2 linked regions of the Diceros bicornis minor genome follow. The protein of the gene in region 2 interacts with the protein of the main gene of each other region in a pairwise test. Links are inferred from orthologs where the notes say so. Each region holds a gene or a part of one and is shown on either strand. Other genes may lie near its edges. The genes, in order: DEUP1 and TBC1D22B.

Region 1 (9,730 bases), on a different chromosome or scaffold from region 2:
CTAGAATGAATTTTTTTTTTTTTTTTAGTGAGGGAGATTGCCCATGAGCTAACATCCATTGCCAATCTTCCTCTTTTTTGCTGAGGAAGATTGGCCCTGAGCTAACATCTATGCCCATCTTCCTCTATTTTATATATGAAACACTGCCACAGCATGACTTGAACGGTGTGTATGTCCATACCTGGGATCCAAACCCACGAACCCTGGGCTGCCGAAGGGGAGCACGCAAACCCAGCCACTGCACCACTGGGCCAGACCCTGCCTAGAATGATTTTAAGCATCACCACAGAAAACTTTTGCTTGCTTCCTCTGATTGTCTTAATCTACCAGTCCAGCGCTGCCTCATCCATGCTCAAAGCTTGTCCTGAATTACCACCAAGGTGATCCAAAGCCAGGCTGCAAGTCAGTGAGTACTAATTTATTCACACTTCACCATTTTCCTGATGGCAAAGCCCTTTGGGGTTCCAGCTTAAAGGCAGAGAGTAGTCATTGACTCCCTTCCTGGGGTGAGCCCAGGCTTTGTCTTTTGTCCCTTTTGTTTCACAAGACCACAAAAACTGCTGCTCAGTTTTTCTTCCAGAGCATCAAATACTTCCCAGGCAAAAGCAGAACTAAATGGAGGGCCCACTTCTCCGGGTTCTTGCCTTTTGCTAGATTTTGACCCAATAATTTCTCACTATCCTATTAGCTTGAAACCTAAAAGGTTTTAACAGAGATGAGCTCTTGGAAAGAGTTGACCTATGGCTCCAAATTTGTTTTCTCCACTGGGGACCTGTCACTTCAGCATTGCCCGCACCATGCCTGATTCCAGGAAATAAGCTATTCCATCTATGAAACTTTAGCTCAGGACTGTACAAAATCTTTGGTTCCCCTAAATATCCAAGAGAAGATGACATTTTCAAAACCACAGTGCTGAACATTAAGGGTTTATAAGAAGGACAAGTATAGAAAAAAAATCATGATAGCCGTTTTCCAAAGAATTGGGTTTTGTTTTCTGAACCTAAAATGAGACCTGGTGTTTCTAATTCCCAACAAGAAGCCGTACTACCTTGGCACCTGGGCCCCTGGCCAGCCAGGACTCAGAGGTAAGGCCCTCCCAACTAGTCTAAATTCTCTTTGCAGAAGCAGCCTTTACTAGGAGAATTGACAGGACTGTGAGTCATGATGCAGGGAAGGCCTCACTCTGCCCCACTAAGGACCCCAGTTATGCATTTCTCTTCAGATGCCCAACCCCTCTCCCAACCCAGAGAAAGTTAATGAGGATTTTGAGGGAGGAGATTTTCATAGTCCCTCTCAAATCACACCTACATAATTTAGAATCTCTCTCATTGCCTCACCCTTCTCTCACTGCACAACCCTACTTAATGAAGAGCTTTAGTACTCTGACCAGGCACCGGTATTCTAGGACTGCACTGTCCAATATGGTAGCCACCAGTCACATGTGGCCATTGACACTTGAATATGGCTTTATGAACTGATGGTGCTGTATGTATAAACCACACAACAGATTTTGAAGATTTAGTATGAAAAAAATGTAAAATATCTCAATAATTTTCTATATTGTCTACACGTTGAAATGATATTTTGGATATATTCGGTTAAATAAATATATTATTAAAAGTAACTTTACTAGTTTCTTTTTACTTTTTGAATTTGCCTACCAAACTATTTAAAATTACATAAGTGGTTACATTATACTTCTATTGGACAGCACTGCCTCTAGAGTGACCTTGGTTCTAAAGACTGAATCTCCTCTTCCTGAATGGTTATTCTCACAACTAGAAAATGTATTGAAGTATCTCCAGAAAATTCCTTAAACTTGCTTCCATTTATAGAATTAGCATGAAACAATAAGAAAAAAAAAAAAACCTAGATTCTAATCGTTATTTGTGTCATTAACCAGCAATGAAACTGGTCAAATTATTTTAACTCTTTGGGTCTGAGTTTCTTTATGTAAAAAGAAGGAGTCAGACTAGGTCCCCTCTATGGTTTCTTCCAATTCTATGATTATATTATTATTATTATGTTAAAAAAATTTCTAAAATATTTTTCATGTATAAGATAGACTTAGCTTTTCATTGTAATGTATATATAATTTTGAACCTTCTTTTGAAAATGATAGAAAAATAGATATTTCCTTGTTGATAAAACGACAGACATCAAGCTAATTTATATAACCTTGCATATGTTAAAGCTGCATGTTCATTTTCTGTACTACTGTTATAAATTTTGCCATGAAAACTGTTTTGTTAATGAAGGTTTTTCATTTTTTAAGGTTCAGTCTATGGCTAAGATTATTATTTATTCTATATAATTGGTCCCTTAGCTTTTCTTCCATAGATCATCCTCATTCCTCAGCCATATATGTTCCCTATACTTTCTTTTGACCATTTCTGGTTGTATTTTATATCTTATTCTGATCTTCCTGTGTCCTCCAATTCTCTTTCAGGACTAAGCTCTCTTGCCACCTCTCACTAGCACCTGGTCACACTCTTGCCCTTCTTTAGAGTCAGGGACTTTCCACTCTCCTCCTCCCTTTCAAAACAATTTCACCTGAAAAGATCTAATCATAGTCAGGTACATTTCAGGGTAAATTCAAGTCTTTGCAGTTACTTCTTACTTGGGGGGTGAGAGTTGGGAGAGAGGTGGGAGGGGTAGGTCTGTGCATTTTAAGCCTTAAGTCTCATCCAGAAATGAAAGGCTTTATTCCTATTAAATTGGAAGGGGTGTTTCTATTCTATATTTAAATTTCCTTAAAATCCATCACAGTATGTGAACTCGCACATACTTAGGCTTTGCGAGCCCTGCCCACACGTACTCTTTCTCGTGAAAATGTGGCTTTAAATACATCTACAGGTACCTATGTAAGATTCTGACTGCTAAAGAGACCTTCTCAACATTAATTTTTGGACACGTTTGAAGAGCACTTGATTTGGAGCAAGATGATCTGGGTTCATATCTTAGCTGCACTTGAACTAGATGTACCATCTTGGACAAATCCTTTATTCTCTCTAAGCCTTAGGTTCCTAATCTGCTAAAAGGAGCTATAATAACACCTGTTACACTTGTGTCACATGGTATTGCTGAGCATCTAAAGAAATAGTAAACAGCTAAGTACTTACCAATGGTAAAGAGCTTCACAGCATGAGTGATATTGGGCATCCTGAAACTTTATTAAATTTTGTTCCTAGTTTCCTTTCCCAGATCAGAACAAATACATTGACCCATTCAGTTTAGACAAGGATAAAGAATATGACTAAGGTTTTCAGAATAATGAAAACTTTCAAGTTAAGATGAAATGATCACTGTCTTCATTCAATCATAATACTAGAGCTATGAAACACGTATTAGGACTAATAACCTGAGTTACTTTACACAATTCATCTATGAAACTCAATTTGTCAAGAAACAGCAAATGGTTTCTTGTAATTCAGATGGAACCTGGATAGAGGGATTGGGGTCAGTATTAAATTGACAGCCATATTAAAGCAGCAAATTAGTGTTAATGTTATGAAAGGGGATTGCAAATAAAAGATTTTAAGAATTAAAAATTAATCGACTGGATGTATTAGGAAGGAATTCTCTTCCTAAAATAGATGCAAGAATATTATCCAAACACAAAATTCAAGTGCTTAAAAATATTCAAGGTATCAGTAGAAAAAAAAATGTGTATATATATATATATGTGTGTGTGTATGCATATGTATATAAGTATATATTCTCTCTTACCATTTCTTTGAAATCAAGACCGTGAGACAGAGCTTCTCTCATCAATTATTCTTGGAATTTGGTGAAAAAGGAAAGAATTTGGAATCAGTCACTCTGGATTCCGTCCGCGTTCCCCCACTTCGGAGCTATTTCCTTCTCCCTAAAAGGGAGGCAACTCTGTCTGCTCCGCCTAACTCGCAGAGTTGTTCTAAGGCCCCAATGCGCTGGATTGGAAAGACAGGTATAGTTGCTGCTGTTATCGCGACCAGAGTAGCTGTGCACTGAGCAATGCAGTTAAAAAAAAATCCAGCTCTTCCCAGCTGGAAGACACCTTGGTGAATAGAAAGGCAGCTCTCTTTACCCCTAATCTATTTCAAATTTTTCATACCACTTCAAACGTAGGTAAGAGGGAGGAAGGCCAGGGGGAGTTTTAAGGAACTTGGATGCAGAACCCTCCCCTCCTCCCAGCTCTTTCTATTTGCTCTTTCCTTATTTCGTTCTTTCACTCATTCAACAAATGTTTCTCCGACCCTGCTGGGTGCCGGACACTGGGCTAGACAGTGAGAGCCACGAGAGGAAAGGACCCAGAATGGGGGCTCGGGAGCCCTGGGTGTAGTGAGCAGACGCTCGATGCGTAACTGCGGGACAGCGGTGACCCGGGGAGCCCCCGCAAGGCCGCGCCCGCCGCCGCCCTCCGCCGGTGCGCCCGCTGCCGCAGCCGAGCCATTTTCCCCCCCGCCCCGCGTCCCGGCCGCGGCGAGTTCGGGCCGCGTCCCCATGGCAACCGGTGGCGGCGTGGCGGGCCGGGGCTGGCGGGGAGGGAGAGGCCACAACGGCCTTGGCGGCCGCGCGGCGGGCGGGCCCGGGCGGCGGGAGCGCGGCGGCGGGCGGCGGGGCCCCTCGGGGCGGACCGGGCTGGCGGTGACCCCGGCGATCCTGCTCCCGGGGCTCCAGACCGCTCGGGGGAGCGCGGCGCGGCGCAGGTAACCCGCCCCGGCCTGTATGACCCCGCCTCGGCCCCTGACCCTCGCCCTCGCCCTCGCCCCCGCCCCTCGGCCGGGCGGGCTTGCCCGAGAGGAGCGGGGGACCCCAACCCAAGCTGGCTGGGTTTGAACCGTGCGCGGGGTGGGGCGGGGCTCAAGGAGTCGGGTTTGGGGCCCGGGGCGCGCGGCGGGTGGACAGAGCCAGGGCTCAGGACGGTCCTTGCAGAAGCCAGAGCAGAGAGTCTTCCTAAATTAGAAGATCTAGGTTCTAGATCTTGCCTTGGGCAAGTCAGCTAGCTTGTCTGTGCCTCAGTTTCCCTGACGTTACAGTGAAGGATTTTGAGGACCTACAAAATCAATTTATTCATCTGTCCGTTCTGGTCAAGTTCTCGTTCCCCATTCCCACTCCTCGCCCGTCCTCTCCACACACAATCCCAGAGTCTTAAATTCCTTTAATTTGAAGTGACATGAGCCTGGAAATCTTTCTCCTTCTGTTTCTCCCATCTTAAATACTACTTAATTGACTTTTATTCAGTGATTCAGCGGAGTGGAAGTCCTTTTCAATACTTTGTCCATTTATCCTCATAGATTATTTTTTAATTAAAACTTTGTTGCTGGGAAAAACTTTCTTTTTACTTTGGGCAAGTACTAACATCCCTATTTTATCAAAAGGCTGAGGAGGTGCCCACAGACCCGTTGAAGAATTGTAAGATTTCTCTTTTTAGGCAATTCTTAGCCTTATCGTCTTAAATCTCATGGTATATTCATTCTAACAAAACCGGGAAAGAGCCAAAGAAAGAATGTACTCAAACAAAGGCAAACTTTTCCGGGATCCACAGAAAGGCAAGTTGGAGAACATTTAGTTGGATCTCCTGTTGAAGAGGAATTCTATTTCACTCATCTCGTGTACTGAGCACTTTGCAACATACCTGGCACCAAGCTGCTGTTCAGTAGAGTGGATGAATGGTCATTTCAGTCAGTACCACATATTTCAACTTATCGCTAAGCCAATGTCATAAATGCATGGGGGCACTAAAAAAAAGGAAAAAGACCAAATTTCTACATTTTCTAGAACCAAAGGCTACTACACTCAGAAAAACTCATACTACATGGTTTGCCAGTAGCAGAATTTTCTTGTTTTATATGTTAATAAGCATAAGCATTTAAGGACTCTAGATCATTTTCCCCCCTAACAGATTAAAAATCAAGAAATATAAACCAGGTGCAGCAGTTTCTTGACATGGAGAAACAAGCCCAAAATACAATGGGGTAAGTGCTGAGAAATTTGTATTGAATGAGTTGGTACTTAACTATGCCAAAAATTCCCTGATGATGCATGAATTTTGAAATTTAGTGTTAATAGGATGTGCCAATTATTTTCGGTGAGGAGCATGGGGGGAATTCAAGTGACTCTGATTAAGAATCTATAGTGTGAGTCTTTCCAATTTTGACTATGGATCTGCACTCAAAAATAACCATTTTCTAACTTTCAGTGCATTTTTCCAGTGTTTTATGGTGGCGGGTGCCCACGCAGGCCTCCTGTGCTCTTGGGTTTCACAGTGCAGCAGCTCCTAGCCAGGTGGCTCCTGTCTTGCTTCATCGAGTGTCTCAAGCTTCCCTCCACACTTGCCCTTAAGGCTGAACTCAACACTTAAACGTAGCCTCAAAACAGAGTTAGCTCCTCAAAACAACAAAGAACTGGGTATCAAACCAAAAGTTTCACGAAGAGATAAGGAATAGGATTTGCATAACATTTGCCATCGTAAAAAATTAAATTCCTTTTCACAAACATCTGTGCCCACCCCTTTCCTGCCAGGAGCACCACAAAGGTTTCTCATCCTATTTCATTAGCCAGCTAGCCACTGGCTGCCCCAGAGCTGGGAGGGGAGAGGGGTAGGAACAATGGGTACGGGTGGTACTATAGTGCCCAACCTTGACCGTGACTTTCAACTATTCTACTCAGAACATGACTTTGACACCAGGCTAAAGGAAAGCTGCACAAGTCTGGATAATAATAGCTATCACTTTTTAAACTCCTACTGCATACTCCTCCTTAACAACAGCCATGCTAGGTATCATTCTCATTTTACAACTAAGAAAATGAAACATATTAGTTAGAGTATAGTCTAAGCTCTTGTAACAAAGAGACCCCAAAATACAGTGGTTTAAATAAGATTGAAGTTTATTTCTGTTTCGTATACAAGTTCAGAGACAAGCAGACCAGGACTGGTAGGGCAGCTCTGCCATCCTCACTACATGATTTCCATCTCTGGACCCAAAGTGATTGCTTACGCTCCCTCCATCATGACTGTGCTTCTGCCAGAGGAAAGGGGAAAGGGCAAGAGGAAGGAGTAAGACCCTCCTTTTAGGAGTATGACCTGGAAGTGGCAGGCCTCACTTCTGTTCACTTCTCATTGGCCAGAACTTAATCCTAGAGCTATAGGTAGCTGCAAGGAAGGCTGGGAAGTGTGGTCTCTAACTGGGCAGCCATGTGGTCAATTAAAGCTTAGAAATTCTATAATAAAAGAAAGAAGAATGGATACTGGTGGACAACTAGCAGCCTCTGCCACAGAGTTCAGAAAGGTAGAAAGAAAAAGAAATAAAGCAGGCTAAGGATGAGAGGAGTAGAGTGTGAATGGGGTGATCAAACAAGGATTCCTTGAAAAGGTGGCTGGCACTGGATCTGAGATTGTGTCTGGGCAAAGGGAGTTCCAGACAGCAGGAAGAGAAAGTGCACAGGCCTGAGGTGGGCGCTTTCACACAGAATGTTTGTAATGTGGTTGAATCATGATTCTCTGACATCTGGGTTATAATAGGCTTTAATTTTAATTTATCTATGATTTCTCCCAATTATAGGTGTTTGTATTTGTGCCGTCGTAATCAACCTAAATTCCTTCTAATCAAAACAGTCATATTTAAGTGAGTTTGTTCTTTTTATTTGTTTTTAGAATGTGTGTCCAGAACATAAATAATTATAGAATGAATAAATGATCTATTTTATTGGCCTTTTTAAGAGAACCATATCTAGATTTTGCTTTGTTTTTGTTTTCTTATTCATGAATTTCTACTCTTATTAATTTGTCCTTTTATGATTTAATTTACTTATCTTATTCTTTTGATTTTTTAGTTGAAATTTGTGTTTCAGCTATTTCCATGATTTCTGGGTTTCATGATTTCTTTACATAATAAAAGCGTTTAAAGCTAAAGTTCTTCCCGCATACAGCTTTGCTGCTGGCCGTAGGATTAGTATTCCAGTCTCATTTTCTAAATAGTCTATTTTCAACTTTGATTTCCTCTTTGGCTGAAGAGATATTTAGGAGAGGTAACTTCCAGGGATGCTTAATTATCTTTTTATTGTTACTTTCTAATCCTCCTACCACCACGGTCATAGAATATGGCCTATATGATATTTCAGTTTCATTAAGATGAGTCTTGTGATCTGTTGCATGATCAACTTTTATAAATGTCCTTTGGACATTTGAAAACAAATGTATATTCTCTATTGGTTACGTAAAAGTTTAAAAAAATTATGCATATATAGTCACACCTTTTAATTGTTATTATTATGTTTAAATTATGTTTTTCAAATCCACTGTTACCTTACTTTTTGTCTATTTGATCTGTCAAATTTTAGGACAGACCTTTACTATAATTGTGGTTTTGTCTGATTCTTCTTGTATTTCAAGTAGTTTTTTTTACATATTACAGTGTTCTGTTGCTCAATGTATTGAGGTTCATAGATGTTATGTCTTCTTGGTATATTATATGATTTAGCTTTATAAAATATCTCACAAGTATAAGTTAATGTTTTTTTGTTTGAATTCTACCTTGCCTGATATTGATATCGCCAACTCTGCTCTCTTTTTAATTTAATTTAGTCTGTAACATCCTTGTTCATCCCCTTTGTAAAGAGAAAAAACTCAGTCTTTTCCTTTCTATGTAGGGAAAAACCCCATTCTTCCCTACTATGTCTTTCTTCCCTGTGTGTCTCTTTTACCTTCAAGAAGTGAAGAGAGCACTTCACTTCTGACACTTCTGGTCACCAAATGTGTGAAAGTTTTTTCCCCACCAAGCAATTCTCTGTAACACCAGCTGGTTGTCCTACAATTTAACTCAATTCTGGCACTGTCTACCTGGAGACAGCGTCAGATCCCACAGGGTAAGGCCTCAGTCCCACAAGACTGCGCCCTCCACTTCAAGCACCAGTTGCAACCCTAGGTTGTCACCTGTGCTTGTGACCAACTGGCTATAGATCTGAGATTCCAATGACCCCTCCTTGGGTTCGAATAATTTGCTAAAGCGGCTCACAGAACTCAGGGAAACACTGTTTATCAGTTTATTAAAGTATACGATAAAGGATACAGTGGAATATCCAGATGGAAGAGACATATAGGGTGAGCTATGTGGGAAGGGGTGCAGAGCTTCAGTGCCCTGTCCAGGCTTACCACTCTCCCAGCACCTCCGTGTGTTCACCAACCCAGAAGCTCTCCGAACCCCATACTTTTGGGATTTTAGGGAGGCTTCATCACATAGACATGATCGATCATTAACTCCATTTTCAGCCCTTCTCCCTTCACAAGAGAATGGGCAGAGAGACTGAAAATTCCAAGCTTCTAATCATGACTTGGTCTTTCCCGTGGCCAGTCCCCATCCAGGAGCTATCCAGGAGCCCACCTGGAGTCACCTCATTAGAACAAAAGACACTCCTGTCCTCCAGGAAATTACCAGGGTTTCAGGAGCCCTGTGTCAGGAACTGGGGTCCAAGACCCATATTAGAATAAGAAATGCTCCTGGTGTTCTTATCACCCAGGAAAATACATGGGTTTTAGGAGCCCTGTACCAGGAACTGGGGACACAGACTAAAATACGCTTTCTATGATCTCACACCCTTGTTTTCAGTCTTTTTTATGTCATATTGTGTCTCTCGTAAATAGTGTATGGTTAGATTAAAATATATATACCTCAGTTGGAGAGTCTTTGCCATTAAAAAGAGGATTTTATGATCACTAACGTTTGACCCTTTTTGCTTTCCCAACATT
Region 2 (9,605 bases):
AACTCACAAGTCCTCCAGGTGACTCACTCAAGTTTGAGAACATGGCTCAAAATCATCTCCTCATCACTAATGAACACCTGATAGCCATAGCTGCCCTGCATTAGGCTTCCCTGTGCCTCCAAAAACCCTCTGCCTAATTAACAACAGGTGATGCCTGCCCACCCCACCCCCACCCCCACCCCCACCGAGCTCAGGACTCACTGGGGGCTCCAGACACACCGCTGATCAAAGTTTTTCAATTCCAGTTTCAGAAACTAGAGCAAGGGGGAGAAACAAATAAAAACAGGAGCTACTGTAATCACAACTATCATTTTCATAATAGCTAATATTACTGAGTTTCTCCTAGGCACTTTCTATGCATTATCTCATTTAATCCTCATAACTGCCTTATGGGGCACATACTCTGTCCCCATTTTACAGATAAGGAGACTGAGGCACAGAGAGGTTAAGTAACTTGCCCAAGGTCACAGTGCAAGGAAGTGGCAGAGCTGGGATTTGAACCCAGGCAGTCAAGTTCCAAAACCTGCATTCCTTTTTTTTTTTTTTGAGATATAGTTGACATATAATATTGTGTACATTTAAAGTGTACGATGTGTTGGTTTGATACATTTATATATTGCAATATGATTACCACCATAGTGTCAGCTAACACCTCTATCATGCCACATAATTACTATTTCCTTTTTGTGGTGAGAACAATTAAGATCTAGTCTCTTAGCAACTCTGACATTTATAATACAGTGCTGTTGACTATAATCACTATGCTGTGCATCAGATGTCCAGAACTTATTTATCTACTGGTTCCCAGTTTCCAGAGCCTGCACTCCCAACCACATGCCTCCTATCTTCCTAGGCATCTGCACAAGGACCATTTGATGTAATAAGCACATGGGGCTCTTAGGAATAACTGAGAGAACTTAAAAAGATGTTTAATTCCATCAAGTTACCATAGGACCCAGCAGTTCCACTCCTACATATACTCAGAAGAATGGAAAACATACATCCACACAAAGACCTGCACACGAATTTCACAGCAGCATTAGTCATAATACCCAAAAAGTGAAAACAACCCAAATGCCAAATGAATGGATAAACAAAGGTATATCCACACAATGGAATATTATTTAGCCACAAAAAGGAATGAAATACTGATACATGCTACAACATGCATGAGCCTAAAAAAAATTATGCTTAATAAAAACAGCCAGTCACAAAAGGCCTCAAATCACATTATTCCATTTATATGAAATGTCCAGAATAGGTAAATCCATAGAAACAGAAAGATTAGTGGTTGCCAGGGACTGGAGGGAGGGGGAGACAGGAAGTGACTAGTAATGGATACAAAGTTTCTTTTGGGGGTGAAGAAAATGTGCTGAAATTAATGGTGATGGTTGCACAAAACCATCTATACTAGACAGTTAGTATGAATATACTAAATACTACTGAATTGTACACTTTACAAGTGTGAATTTTTAGGGTATGTGAATTATATCTCAATAAAGCTGTTATTTTTAAAAAGGATGTTTAATTCATTTTGAACTTAGGCTATTGTACTATATATAATTCCTATTTGTTGTCATTAAAGTTGCTTGATCGTAACCAAAGAATTTGAAGGTAATCTGCTACTGCTTTGAATTTTTACTTTTCAATTTGCAGAGTAAACTAGTTTCACTTCTAGGTTGCCATGGGCTTAGACACAGTCATCTGTGTCATTTCCCCACCCAGGAGAAAGTTTTACTTCACTAAGACTGAAAGAGTAAAAATACAAAAGTTCTATTCTTGAGAAAATGCCCTAACATTTTCCTTAAATCAAAGCACTTTCTATCTAAAAGAACTTTAGTATTCTCCCACAATCAGGGGCTCCCAGGGCTTTCCCTGCTAAGAGCACACAGCTGAACACTACTTCTCTTCCACAAGCAAGGTACTAAAAACTATTATGAATTGGGGCAACATTTTAATGCCTTAAAATAAACAATGAACATAAATACATAGTACTGGGGTAAGGATCTGAGAAAACATTCTTTCAAATGTTTACTTGCTCTAATAATAACAGTAATACTAATAACTAGTATTCATTGAGCAACTATAATGTGCTAAATAAACACTGTCCTAGGTTCTTTACAAATAGGATGTTTAATTTAGGACTCACGGTAACCCTGTGGAAAGTATTTGTATCCTCATTTCACAGATAAGGAAACTGAGGCCTAGAGAGATTGAGTAAATCATTTGTCCTTGATCACAGAGGTAAGAGAGTCCAAAAAATAACCCAAATCTTTCTGAACTCAAATGTTCTCTCCATTATCCCTCTATATTCCTCTTCAAAATGAAAAAGGAAGCCAGAAACTTAAGAAACCAAAAAGACTCCTCTTCCTAGCTCACGAAAGTAGTGCTTTCAGAAAGGCTGACCATTCCCACAGTCCAAAAGAAGAAACAGAGAAAACAAAAATTGTAAATAACAACCAGCAATCAGTAGGCACAAAAGACCATGCCATGTCCCACATCCCAAATACTGCTTCCTGATTTAACAGTTTTCCCACTGATTCTGATCATAACCTTAGGATTTGAAATTTAATGATCTCACCATGGAAAACCCCAGAGAACAGCAGTTAGCGAGAGAGGAGAGCTCACTAGACCAGGAAGGAAAAGGAATCAGTTGGCAGGAAGTGATGCTTATCTAAAAACATAGAAGTCTTTAGCAGTAATATTAACACTGTAATTCCACAGCACTTCAATGTGAAGCTATCTCTGTATTGCCTTGCATTATTTTAATACTATATTGCTAAAAGCTGATTCACACTCTATTCTCCATATGTCTAACAGGATCTTGAATAAAATAAGACTGCTCTGTAGCCACCACTGACCCTCATTTCTCTCTTGCTATTAAAAAAGAAAAAAAGGCCACAAGTTCAAAGGATTATCCCAGGAGGATAAGGCCTGAATCAATTAGTAAAGGCTGCATGTGGGGCCCAACCAAACATGAATTTCATCACCAAGTAGACTGTAGCTGGCAGAAATCTTAAATTCACTACTGAAACATACACTCTTCTTTATACTTCTCAAGACTGCCCAAAACAAATTGAAACTATAAATCAACGGCAGATTGATGGATGTACAACTGCTAAGCGTCTCAACATACACCAAAAAGGGAAAAAAAAAAGCTTAGAAAGTCAACTCTCCAACTAAATAACTGAAGAAAGAAAGAATTTAGTGCATTTGCACAAGAAGAACACTACAACGCAGGGGGGAAGAAGCCACTTAGGGTTGAATAAATCCTTAGAAAATGCTAAAGAAATAACTTCGATTCTTGGGTCACCCTGTATTAATTCCTAATGGGAAAAAACCAACTTAAAGTTAGGTCAAACTTGGGAATTTTCCTCACTTTTCCTGTCCCCTCGCAGACGGTCCCAAGCGCCCACCAGAACCTCCTGGGAGTCCAGGGGAAAGATTCGTACGCACTGAGCTCGGGGAGCAAGAGAAGGGGCCATCCTCGTGCAAACAACTACCTGTGTGTGGTGGAGACCGCCCCCCCGACCACCAAGAGGGAGTTCTTTTTAAAGCGAAAAGCAGCTCTGGGGATGGCCCTCCTAACCCAGGACCGACACTGGCTACTCATCCAACTCCACTGTCTCTAACCCCAGGACTTCAGCCACCTCCCGGCTGAGGGCAGCCCCTCCTGAGCCCTCCGCCCCCAGACCCCAGTCTGCTCCCACAACCAGCCATCACCAAAGCTCGCTGCCTGGTCCTCTGCCTGACAGCTGTCCTGCCGCCACCAGGCAGCCCCATCTCTTCCAGCCCAAATTCCCCAAACCAGCCTTCCGGGGTCGGTGGCGCCCCAGGCCCGCGGGATTTATGGTTTAGGATCTGGAACGGTTTGGTCCAATCCCCTCTCCCTCAGCGTCCTGGGCTCACCTCCCCGGCAGCTTGGCGCTCCTCTTCCAAAACTGCTTGCTGTTCTCGGCGGCCATCGCTCTGGCCCGGGGAAGGCCTTGTAGGCGGGCCGGGGGTGGTACCTGGCGAGATGCCCCCAGGACCCCGCAATCGGAGGGCCAACCCAGGCCGCTTCCAAGCCGCCGGTCACCCGCTCCCAGCTGCTGGAGGCGCCATCTTGGATGTGGGCACCCCCCAACCCAGCGCAGCTGCCATTGGTGGGCTGCGCAGACCGTGGTGGGACGGACCAATCGGGAGCCGGAATCCTGCAGGCCGCTGAAGCCGAGCGGTAACGTCAGGGGCTGGGCACACAGGTGGACCAGGAAGGCGGAGCTTGGACGAGCAGGGAGGCGGGGCTGAAAGTTCCCACTGCCCGGGAGGGGAAGAGGCAGGTAAAGTAAGGGACCTAGGGGAAGAAGGAAAGGATACTATTTATCTTGGGGAGAACGAGGTTTCTGAGTCTAATATTTTTTGAAAAGAGAGAGCATATGTATTAATATACATAAATCTTTGACCTAAAAGTAAGGTCCTATGTGTTGGTTGCAGCCCGTTTTTAACATCTCCCAACTCAATTATACTCTAGTTATTACCCTCCCCTTCTCTGTTACGTGGACCCGGATTTTTTTTCTTTTTTTTAATTCTGTGAAGGAAGACTAATACGGATCCGATAGCCCAGGGCTGCTAACTGTTCCACACGTGAGTAACCGTTAGTTCGTCAGAGTCTCCATCTCTTCTGCTAATTGAACACTGCCAAAGGACTTAAGCCGTGGGTGAAGTTCAAATGGTCTAATCCCTCTTTCAGTCAATAACTGTCACTTTCTGACTATAAGAACCTAGATGCTGACAAATAGTGTTTAGGGAATGTTCTTATTTTATCCATCCAATTTAGACTACCGAGTAACATTTCTTGCAAGGACATAGAATATCTCCATGGCATGAATCACTGATTAAGGATGTACTCCCAAACATCTTAATTTCCCTTATTAATCTATTATAAATCTTTCACTCTTTAATTTATTTTCAATCTAATTTTGACTCAGAATGGGATTTAATATTAGCATTTAAATCCTTTGCATGTCTTGGTGTTTTTGCTCTGAGTTCCTGTGGTTGTATGTCACAGTGATGGGGTGGGGTGGGGGGAGGCAGGGGGCACACCCAAGTCCAGAGTAGTTTTTGTCCCAACAAATTACTGTTGAGGTGGGCTGGTTGTCCCCCATCCCCACTCCTGTTTACTGCTACCACATGTCCTTCCACATACTGGAGAATGCTTAAGGACCTCCTGTCTAAAGAAGGACCTTCTTTTATATGCCCTCCAATGGCCTCTTTCTACATAGACATTACCCCCATTTTCAAGCTTCTTTTGTCCCCTAATTTCACAATCATGAGATTGTATGAAAAGGGCTATTTTTACTTTCTCTGACTCTTTCATGCTTTTATAGACTTTCATCTTATCTTGTCTCAGTCACATTTATGGGCATTTAATGCATCAAACAAAAGCCCCTCTAGCCTGTTAGTCATTTTAGCTGCCTTTCTTTGGCTCTGGTTTTTTTTTTAGGCTGTGGTGACCAGCACTGCACACTGAACTCCAGGAGGGGTTTCCTGAGGTTTTGTTGAAACTGGTGTTTTCTCAAAACACCACCCAGAACTTTTGCTGGCATTTTGGACTTGACAAGAGCTGGTGTCTTGAAAGGATAATCGACAGCAATTTCTAGATCACTTTCCTTGGTGGCAACTGGCAGTTCAGAGTTGATTATCTTAAAGGTATCATCTGAATTGTCTCCCCCTGTGTGAGCTGTCTTACACTTGTTCCTGTAGCTAGTCACCTGGCACTTTCCAGACTACTCACATAGCTTTAGAAATTTTCCAGAAGATGCTCCCTATTGACTTGACATTTCACTATGTGGAAAGCAGAGTATAATTTGTGTATCTAGAAATGTCTCAAAGTATTCTTTTTTCTTAATCATTTATGAAATGTTAAATAACACCGATTCCCCGGGGGTGCTGGTAACATTGTTCAACCCAGAGAAGTGCTATTATTTCTCCTCTTTGCTCCATCTAAGCCAGTTTGCCATCTAAGATTAAAAAAAAAAATCACTCAAGTCATCTGGTGATAACTTTTTAAATAGTCTTTGTGAGGGAAGTTGAGATTGTTGGGCCCTTTCTCACCACCAGCATGACCACCTGAATCTAAACCAACCACGTCCCTACAGCAGCCTCCTGTTAGGCCTCCCTGCTTCCACTCCTCTCCCCTTGGAATCTGTCCCCACACAGCAGCCAGAGAGAGCCTTTTCAAATGTCAGTTAGGGGCTGACCCTGTGGCCGAGTGGTTCAAGTTCCGCATGCTCCCCTTAGGCGGTGTGAGTTCCGATCCCGGGCCTGGACCTACTCGTCAGCCATGCTTTGGAGGCGTCGCACATACAAAATAGAGGAAGATGGACACAGATGTTAGCTCAGGGTTAATCTTCCTCAAACAAAAAAAAAAAAGAGGAAGATTGGCAATGGATGTTAGCTCAGGGAGAATCTTCCTCAGCAAATAAATTAATTAATTAAATAAAATGCCAGTTAGATTATGTCACTCCTCTGCTCAATGCCTTGCAATGGCTCCATCACACTTGGCATACAATCCAAGCTCCTTAAAGACCCTGCGTGATTTGGTTCCACTCTCTTCTTTGCTTATCTGCCCCAGTCACATTGGTTGGCCTTTTTGCTGTTCCTTGAACACTCCAAGCATGTGCCTACCTCGGGACCTTTGTATTAGCCATATTCTCTGCTTGGAATTCTCTTCCTCCAGATATCTGTTGGCTTGCTCCCTCATTTCATTCAGAAGTCTCTTCATCTTAGGGAGGCCTCCCCTGACCACCCGTCTAAATAGCGGGCTCCACCACTCTATTTTTCTTTAAAGCACTATCACTCATTACCATATTATGTACTTGTTTGTCGTCATCCCATCCCCTAGAATGTAAACTCCACTAAGGCAGGTATCTTGTCTGTTTTGTTCTCTGCTATAACCCCAGCACCCAGAATAGCACTTGGCACATAGTAGGTGCTTAATATTTACTGAATGAGAGAATGAAGAGGATAAACTATTCTTGTCTTTTGGTTCTCTGTTGTTCATGCACATTTTTTGTTGGAAAAGGTGATATTAACCATGTTTTCTAATCCCCAGCAGGATGTATCCGCTTTACCAAAGATTCTATAAGCTTGCCTAAGCTCTTGGTTGAAGAACAGCCTTCCTCCCTTGAGAAAGATTGTCCTCTTCAAATCCTTTTGCAACTTCAGAGGAATGAACCTCTACCTAGAATGATGAGGGAGGGAGGCCACCCACCTAGCCAGGAGATCCATCAAATCAACCCTGTCCATCAAAGGAGTGTTAGCCGTGGCAGCCTGATCACCCTCACACCAAACTTTGCCCAACTAGAGGTGAAAATCATTGGTTTTAGGTTCCCAAGGGGTCCTTGGAACACTCTTGATGGAGGCTTGTAGTGGCAGGCACTCTGGTCCACTAGACTTGTGCTTCTCACACTTTCGGGTACCTACTGAATCACCTGGAGATCATGGTAAAAGCCTAGATTCTGATTCAGTAGGTCTGGGGTGGAGGCTACAATTCTGCATTTCTAACAAGCTCCCGGGTGACACTGATGCTGCTGGTCTGTGGACCTCACTTTGTAAATCTCTATTACTAGCACAGTATGACCTGTGATCCCTGAATCTATCTCAAAGGTTTGATTGTTTTGAAACTGTAAGTAGAGTTGTTGCCTGCGAGACAACTGTAGATGTTGTCTGCCTGCAGGTTTTTAACTTTTCCCTCCTCAACGTCATATTCATTCAAAGGAGAGTAAAACAACTTAGACAGGGGCAAAGTAGAATTAAGGGAATGAGCTATGCATGGGTTGAATGTGCACTCAAAAGAGGTAGGCATATCCCAATCCTTAAAGAAAGTTCTATGGGAGAGATAAACCATGTGTAGAAGCACACAGAAAAAGAAAGAGAAAAGGCCTAAAGTACAGTAGGGAAGTCATTTCAGAGCAGGAGTTCCATAGGGAAGATAAAAATTGAGAAAAAAGTCTTTGGACTTAGTTACAAAGAGATCACTGGCGGACTTTAACCTTGGCAAAGGAGTGGAGTGAACCCTGTGATGAGAGGAAAGGTTAAGAAATGAGAGCAAGAAACAGCCCTCACAGTGCACTGCAGAATGTTGGACCACCAAAGGAATGGTAAAGTCAAACTGGGATCTAAGAGCAAGAGAGACTTTTTGGTCCCTAAGCAACCACAAGAAAGAGCCAAATGAGAGACATCGGTTATATTAGGGAAGGCAAAGGGATAAGAGGAATACTGAAGAAGTAAGATGTTATTGGAGTAAAGAAAGGAAGAGAGAGTCGTTAGAATTTGGGGCGTGGAGGGAAGATTAAGAAAGAATCTTTAGAAAGGTTAGAAAGAATCTTTCCTAGGAATTTATTCTAAGGAAATAAGCCAAAAGGAGGGGAAAAAAAGCTCTGTGTACAAAGATGTTCTTTGTGGTGTAGCCAGTAATAAAGAGGGGGAAAATGAAAAGAATATAAAGGTTTAAACATGAGGAGGTAGTTACACAAATTATGGTGTGTGGTTTGTAAATTTGAACCATGCTATGCCATTAAAATGTGCAAATTTGCTACATACCACATTGAAAAAGTTTATGAAATGATATACAGTGGGGAAAAAGCTGAATGCACAATGTCTTTGCCTGATTTCAATAAAAATATATGGGTTTTGTCAAAGACTGGAAGAAAACATGGAAAAATTAAGCAAATTTTGTTAGATCATAGAATTATGCATCTTTTTATTTCTGGAATTTTTCTTTAATGCTACAATTTTTTTTTTTAAACTTCCCCCCCTTATCCATTCAAGTAAAATGAGATTTTTTGTTTTTTTTCAGGGAAAGATTCACCCTGAGCTAACATCTGTTGCCAATCTTCCTCCTTTTTTTTTTCCCTCCCCAAAGCCCCAGCATGTGGTTGTATATCCTAGTTGTAAGTCCTTCTAGTTCTTCTATATGAGCCACCGCCACAGCATGGCAACTGACAGGCGAGTGGTGTGGTTCCGTGACCAAGAAACGAACTCGGACCACTGAAGCGGTGAGAGTGCTGAACTTTAACCACTAGGCAATCAGGAATGGCTTTACAATTTTTTAAATTATTATGGAATGTATGTCACACAATAAACCAGGGGCTGGCAAACTTTTTCTATAAAGGGCCAGGTTATAAATATTTTTGGCTTTGCAGGCCATGCAGTCTCTGTTGGAATTACTCAACTCCGCTGGTGTAACATGAAAGCAACCACAAACAATATGAAAATAAACTAGCGTGGTTGTATTCCAATAAAAGTTTATTTGTGGACATGAAAATTTGAATTTTATGTAATTTTCACATCACAAAGTATTCTTCTTTCAAATTTTTTTCAACAATTAAAAAATGTAAAAACCATTCTTAGCTTACAGGCCATACAAAAACAGCAAACCAAATTTGGCTCGTGGGTGGTAGTTTGCCAATCCCCAAAGAATAAAAACTAAATAACATATAAGAACAAGGTTAAGAAACAAAAGAATCCTATGATACAATTCAAGTCCCCTTTTGACCCTCCTTGATCTCCTTACCCTCCGTCTCTCTAGTGGAAACCATCATCCTGAGTTATGTGTTCAGCAT

The links.
Region 1: the proteins of TBC1D22B (region 2) and DEUP1 interact in binary tests that used the Homo sapiens proteins (3 or more experiments, as listed by UniProt). The link is inferred for Diceros bicornis minor from reciprocal best matches to the Homo sapiens genes TBC1D22B and DEUP1.

Annotation. Positions count from the first base shown.
Region 1 is NC_080746.1:40,270,475-40,280,204, reverse strand, and holds the start of DEUP1 (deuterosome assembly protein 1), read left to right. Parts: upstream 1-5,920; 5' UTR 5,921-5,931; coding exon 5,932-5,960; intron 5,961-9,730. UniProt on the Homo sapiens protein: Key structural component of the deuterosome, a structure that promotes de novo centriole amplification in multiciliated cells.
Region 2 is NC_080753.1:27,781,128-27,790,732, forward strand, and holds the start of TBC1D22B (TBC1 domain family member 22B), read right to left. Parts: upstream 4,019-9,605; 5' UTR 3,966-4,018; coding exon 3,910-3,965; intron 1-3,909. Other genes in the region: TMEM217 (transmembrane protein 217), read left to right, coding at 4,019-4,145. UniProt on the Homo sapiens protein: May act as a GTPase-activating protein for Rab family protein(s).